Linked DNA regions of Drosophila melanogaster. The protein of the gene in region 2 interacts with the protein of the main gene of each other region in a pairwise test. Each region holds a gene or a part of one and is shown on either strand. Other genes may lie near its edges.

What was found.
Region 1: the proteins of CG15577 (region 2) and mil interact in a two-hybrid assay, tested with the Drosophila melanogaster proteins (one large-scale study listed by BioGRID).

What each region holds. Positions count from the first base shown.
Region 1 is NT_033777.3:27,910,381-27,914,460, reverse strand, and holds mil (milkah), read right to left. Parts: upstream 2,015-4,080; 5' UTR 1,894-2,014; coding exon 1,661-1,893; intron 1,596-1,660; coding exon 1,472-1,595; intron 1,408-1,471; coding exon 1,179-1,407; intron 1,120-1,178; coding exon 1,034-1,119; intron 980-1,033; coding exon 800-979; 3' UTR 676-799; downstream 1-675. Other genes in the region: CG5003 (uncharacterized protein), read left to right, coding at 1-423.
Region 2 is NC_004354.4:4,275,830-4,279,025, reverse strand, and holds CG15577 (uncharacterized protein), read left to right. Parts: upstream 1-2,025; 5' UTR 2,026-2,119; coding exon 2,120-2,419; 3' UTR 2,420-2,533; downstream 2,534-3,196. Other genes in the region: CG15578 (uncharacterized protein), read left to right, coding at 1,164-1,433.

The DNA.
Region 1 (4,080 bases), on a different chromosome or scaffold from region 2:
CAATACTATGTCACCGATCGGGCGATGTATAGCTTTGGCCGAGCTGATCGACCGGTGCAACCGGACGTTGTCTGGATCCGGAACATCAATCGCTCGCCAGACAATAAACTGGAGCGACTGTCGTTGCGAAACTACCATCTCATCACAAATCATACCCTGGAGCACCTGGTGCAGTGCTCTCCGAATCTGGTGTATATCGATGTTAGTGGCACCAGCATTACGCTTCCGGCAATTCGGCGCTTCAAGATCTCCAAACCGAAATGCGAAGTGGTCGCCAATCACTTGGAGGAGTTTGAAAGACTTCCGGAGCTGGAGACACAGGAAGAGGATGACACGGTGGTGGTGATGCTGCAGCCACCGCCGCGCGCCGACGACGAGCAGCCACCGAAATCGCCACCGCCACAGGAGGTGGTGGCTCCTTAGAATATTGTTTGTAAAGATTCCGTCGAAGTGGGCCGTGCTGGATTATTTTATTTTTTTTTAAGAAAAAAGACGACATGGCCAAGCCGATGGATCCACAACGCTGGCTACAAGCGAGTGCTGTAGCTCAGCCATCTAGTATTACGTTTGACTATTCGAGTCCTTGTAATATATACACGCCAGGCTAAACGCACTGTATAAATCAAAACCACAATTCAATTCCTTTAGCTAGGCATTAAAAAGAGCGCGCGAGATCCTTTTGGTAAATATGTATAATGAAATGTTTATTTGGTTGGTATGTAGTGGGTAAGGACAGGCCAATAGTTCGGTGACTCGAGTTAAAAATGTATGTAAACTGTATATAAGCGGTGTAAAATGTTTACTTGTCGACGCCATCCTCCTCTTCGGCATCCGACTCGTCCTCGGTATCTTCCGACTCGGTCTCCGATCCGCTGGAGCTCTGACAATCGGCAATCTCGCCGGTGAAGAAGATCACCGCCTTGGGAATCACGCGCTCCTTTAGATAGAAGCCCACCTCAAAATCGTTTTGCAGCATAGCCTGTGGGAGGAGATGCATGTGAAAGGATCGCAGATCGCTGATATTCAATCTTACATTGACGTCACAGTAGTTGGGGTCAAGGGTATCTTCTGGCAAAAGCGGCGGCGAGAAGAACTCAAAGAACGACGGCTCTTGATTTTCTGGTCAATGAGTGAATTCAACTAACATCTGTGAAATTTGATGCTCCCAGATGGCTTACCGGTTTTGGTCTGGTCCTTGGTCTGCTTCCAGTCGATGACGCAGCCTTCGCACTTGTAGATCTCGGCGCCATCATATGCGAGCGGATCGTCTGGATCCGGCAGGCAGTTGAGGAAATATGTCTTGGTCAGCACCGTGTTGGTAAAGTAATCATTGGGATCGAAGTGGAATTCGATATCAAACTTCACCACGGGTTCGTTGTACAGCCGAGAACGGATGTCGCTTAAGCACTGCGCGGGAAAAATTTCAATTAAAATTTAAATATCCTTCAAATCGGATCTATCCATAACATACCTCTAATATTTTCTCATCCCTCTTGCTGATGAACTCGGTGTACGATGCTTTGAGAACCCTCAGCCAAAAGTTGGGCACGCTCTGATTGGTTTCCACGTCGCCGTGGTTTTGCTTTCTAAACTCACTGCACCGATGGGATTTTTGGGGGAATTGAGATCTTGTTTAACCAAACACCATTAATGGACTTACTCTAGAATCTTCTTGCGCTTATCAAATATGATATTGTGCTTATCCTCGTACTTCTTCTCGATATTGTAAATGTCGCGCTGCAGAGCCACATCCAGGTTAATGGTCTCCAAATAGAGCTGCTTCAGTTCGGTAAGAGTTTTCTTCTCCTTCTCGGTGAAGTTTAAATCCGATTCCATCTTCGGTGGAGCGGTGTACTTCATCCGCGGAGGGTTTCGATTTCGCACAGTTTCCATTTATGTTTCGACACGATAATCAAAAGAAAAATAAAAAAAATATTTCTTGAAGTGATTTGGTTTTGTTCAAGTATAAAATTTGGACGTGTGCGTTTTCGCTGTGACTGCCGTTGTGGGAATGAAAAGTAGCTCTATCAGTTTCCCAAAACTCCCAGCACAAAAGGCAAGGCCCGCTTTTCACTAAAGTGCTGGAACTAACTAGATGTACTAGAAAATATTAAGCAATTTATTATTCTTTTTTTTTAAGCTACATTTTTAAACCCTCGTGTTATTGCTGTTTTAGTCACCCCTTTCGCCTTACTTTGCCCATTGAGATGCAGGCCATGTTTATTGGCAATTTAACGCACATTTAATTCCTGCTCTTTTCCTGTTTATATATTTTTGGTTTCCCCAAAATTTTTTGTTTGCTTCCGCCAACTTTTCATTTGGCATGTAATTAAGTGTGGGCCAAAAGCTTGGACTGGGTGCCGCCAGCCTGGCCTAAGTGTATGCAAATCACGTGCTGAGTGCTGTGCCGCCAAGGGTTCAGGTTCAGCCATTGCCATCGCCATCGCCATCGCCATCGCCTCCTGGAGTCTGTTAAATGGACCGTGGACCCAGTTTCTGGTCTATCCGAGAGTCGCTTGTCTTTTGTCGCTGGTTTTAATAATGTGGGCCAGGCTTAGTGCCATATGTCCGGCTGTGAAAAACAACAGAAAAAAGTGAAAAAAAAGAGTGAAATTGTCGCTTAGGCAAACATTTCAAAATGAAATTATGAGTGGGCCAGTGGCGGCGGGCGAAAAAAAAGTGTAAACAAATTCAGCCAAGCGGAAGTCCAGACACACACACACACACACAACAACGCACACACACATCCGCCAAATGAAAGCCGCAGAGGATAAGCGGGAAAAGCGGGAGATCGCATTGTTGTGCGCTGTTGAATGTTTGCCCACAAATACAAACACACACGACACACGGCACATGCACTTGTCCAGTCTCCACAGGACATCCACCACTCGCTGCTCTCATATTTGATATTATTAAATTTTTTCCCTAAATACCGCTGGGAAATTAAAAAGAAATCATAACGCAAATAGTGTAAGGCAGCCAGGCATCTGATGATGACGGCTCTGGCTGGCCAATTTCCACATTTGTACGAGTGTATGCCTGCACTGTGCAAAATAATTGGTATGTATATATATTTCACGTCATTATCATTAGCAGGAATGGAATATGCAAGATAGTTAGGTATTAATCCAAATGAGATGGAAATCGATAGTTGGGAACTAATCAAGATCAACTAATCAAGGACTCTTCAAGTGCACAACCATTTAAGCTATTCGGGCATTTTCAATTTACATTTCGGTCATTCAATTAGGCGGTGCATAAAATGTAGCTACATAAGTAATGGAGCAGCCCCATCATCATCAGCATCATCAGGATCATTTGGAGGAACATGGGGACCATGGCCATCACCCACGTGATTGCCGCTCGTCGGAGGTCGTCAGTGCCGGGAGCGTCAACATAGTTTGAATTTAATTAAAACCAAAATTAGTAGAGCCCAGCAGAATGGAATGGTTTGGCGCAGCCCGACCAACCGGAGCAACAGTTACTTGGCGCAGGGATTAAAGCTCCTGCTTCAGCTCCTTCCTGGCAAAAGTGCATGTCTGCAGAAAATCGAATCAGGAGCTCAACATCCTCATCCACGAGCCAGGCAACCTGGCAGCCTGGAACTCCTACGTTTCCACCTGCTCCTGAAACTGAAGCAACGGCGCCATGCCGAAATATCTGCAACAAAAGCATAAGATGTAGTGCGGCATTTGATGATGAAACGACGTGTTAATTAAGGTCATAATAATTCAACTTAAATTGAAAACTTGCCCGGCCCCAGAAACGCAACCATGGCAGGGCATGGCACTCACTAACCATTTTTGGTTGGTCGGGCATCGGGCATCGGGCGAAGGGCATCGCATCCTCGGAATCCTGGCCAGGCTAAGCTGATTGCAACAAATTATTTTGCACCTTGGTTGAACTTTCCTTGAGCTGCAGGCAGCATGGCGTTCATAAACGAATTTTGTTAGTTTGCTTTGCTTATTTTAAATGGAACTAGGTGGTGGCCAGAACTCCCAGGATCTAGGATACGCGAGTGGCTGGTGCACCGAGGGACAGGGGCCAGTGTTGCCTTTGGTTTTGCATAAACCAGACAAC
Region 2 (3,196 bases):
AGGAAATCCGCGTACGCTGGGGAGCGCAGAGAACTCTACGCCAAATAAAACAAATAAGAAAGTTATCGTATTGATGTTTGGACTAAACGATACCTAGTGCTTGGAACGAAGAGTTTCGGCTAAATTAGTTATACAGTAAAACATCTCAGCAAATATGCTGTGTACGATTTTGTCACAAACTTAAAACTGTTATGATTACCGGCGGCTTCTTTTCGCTCAATACTGCCCTTTATATTTTACTGTATAGCAACCAATAACTCAAATTACACCGATCCCCCTTCAATGCACTCCTGAGCTGCACAGATGCTACGTAAAAGCACAAAAACAAAAAGTAATCGTAAACAAAATGCCGGAAAAGGCAAAAAACATGGCGACAAAGACGGTGGCGACTATGGCGATGACTATGACTCCAAACCACGTGCTCCATATGCTGAACATGAGGCGAATGCGAATGCGAATGCGAAGGGGATCCTGGGTATACATACATATATGTATATATGGCCGAGATCGTGGGCACGAGTGGTGGAGATGCGGAGATGTGGAGATGAGAGCGGCCCGACGTCGCCGTGATAATGACTTTTTGTCTCTGCTCGAATGTCACTTGATGTTTGTGGGCCCTTCGCTTCCTGGCTACACTCGGAAAATTGTTGCACCCAAAGATGCAATAGAAATATACATGTATTTTTGCAACGCAAAATCTAAAAGTTACAAAATAAGAGGCGCACTTTAACTTGCAAATCAAGATACTTTAGTGGGTATTTTAATTTATTGAAGACACTATCAACTCGATCAGCCTTTCTTTAGTTGCTGTGTTTCCTGCTCTTTGTTGCTTTTCTGGCTGTTGCCTTTGTTGTTGCAGTTTTCGTTTTTATGCCTCGAGGTCATTCAAGTTCAACCCGCCACAGTCGCCATCTGATTAATTGGCCATGCTGTTGAAGCACACCGGCAAGAAGGCCAAAAAGCAAGGATCGAAGCAGGCTGAAAATTCATGTAGTTGGCATTGCCTTTTACTGTCACAAATAGCTGGGACTTTCGTTCCCCTACCTAGCTAATAACGATATAGGCCAGCCGTTGAGTCAGTAACAAAATTTTTCTATACTTTTACATTTGGTTTCCCAAAAAAAAAAAAAAAATCACAAAAAAAAACGACAAAAAAATTAAACATGGCCGACATCTTCACGACACTGCCGAAACGTCGGTTGGTACCCAACCTACTTAAGTCCATTATAATGGTCCTGGAGCATACTAGCCGACCCATGACTGACACAGAGCTGAACATCTTCCTGGGCAGCCAGTACCAACGTAACGATCCGGAATTCTTTGCCCAAGTGCAAATCAATCTGCACGATGGCATCGAAAGCGCCATTCTGAGGCGCCAGGGAAACCAGATTTCGCTGCTCGCTTGGATCCTCACCAAACCGATGAACCTTTGAAAACCGCCAAACCCACACTTCAGATAAGAAGAATAATCCTTAACAGAACAGTGTATCCTTTTGTTTTATTTGGTTATTATTTGGTAGGGAAGTTAACAAATTATCATGTTCCATGGGGCTTTTTGTACTGTGCAACGGCGGCTAAAGCGTTTGGACACATATATACATCTCGGTCTTAAAGTATGCACTTTAATTATATACGTAAAGAGGGCCTTGCCAATTGTTGAACATCCGGGTAATCGACGCAGTAGCAGCTGTAACAGGGTCGCAATCCGTATCCTGCAAAGTCAGATATTAGTCGAAACTGTGCTTTACCAACGTTAAACGTTACATTTGGCACCGAATCCCACGCCCGATTGGCCTTCTGGTGGCAGACGCGTTTTGTGGCAAATATTTGTGAATGTTTGCATTGAATCGCCAAATATGCAATTATATCATAAATTAAGCGGTGAAAATCAAACATTCTACGGAGTGATGATAATGTGAAAATTTCGAGGATCGAAGCAGTCAGGAAATTCATGTAGTTGGCTTGCCTTTTTGCTGTCACACGTATCTGGGGCTTTCGTTCCCGAGCTCATAACGACTCAGGCTGCCCGGCGAGTCGGTCGCAAAATTTGTCTACACATTTGGTTTCCAAAAAAGGAATATAAAAAAGTCAACAAAAAAATGTAAAAAATTTTACTACCATGCCCGTCACCTACAGGACTCGCACACTGCCGCAACAGCGGAAGTTGGTCCCCAACCTACTGAGGTCCATACTACGCGTCCTGGAGGAGACGCGCCGACCCATGAGTGACAAAGAGTTGAACTTCGTCCTGGGCGTCCAGTACCGACGCAACGATCCGGAGTTCTATCGCCAAGTGCAAGTCAACCTGCGCGATGGCGTCGAATACGGCATTCTGAAACGCCAGGGAAACCAGTTTTCGCTGCGATCCCGACGCCTTGGTGAACTGATGTCTACTCTTGGATCCTCGCCAAACCGCTAAACTTTGGGAAACCGCCAAGCCTACAGATATTAAGAATACCCCGAAACAGAGCGTACACGAACAGAATATAACAAAAGCTCCTGGAAATTAATTAGAGTCCTTAACAGAATAGAGAATCCTGTTGTTTTATTTGGTCGGGAAGTTAACAAATTATCATGTCCCATGGGTCTTTTTGTTCTGATTTAATTGCCTTAATGTGCAGGTGCACCAATAATTCACATTTGGCACCGAATTATTCACGCCCGATTGGCCCTCTGGTGGCAGACGCGTTCTGTGGCAAATATTTGTGGTTATCTAAATGAAATGCGTGGCATTGCAGGCCAACCACAGAGGGGTGCATATTTGCATTGCACCGCCAAATATGCAATTAAATCATAAATTAAGCGGTGAAAATCAAACATTCTACGGTGCGATGGTAATGTGAAAATTTGAAGTTGATCACCGTGTGGGTGGTGGTGGGGTAGGGGGTTGTGTGCTGCCAACTTTTCACAAGCTCACTTTTCCCCTGTGCCCGATTCTCTTCGGTCCCCTATGCAAAGTGACGATATGAAGTTAAAACCAAATGAACTTGCCGCGAAATGGATGTTTTAAAGCGGAACCAATCTAGTACGATTTATGAAAGCAATCAAGGTACATCTTTTTCAAATGAAATTTGTATAGCCAAAAGAACATCCACTAGTAGTAAGTGAAGATATAAGCCAAGTCTATTGGAGTTCCATTGGAATAATAGATTGTGGGGGACATCTTGATGTTGCAATCGCTGTCCGTTATTATTTT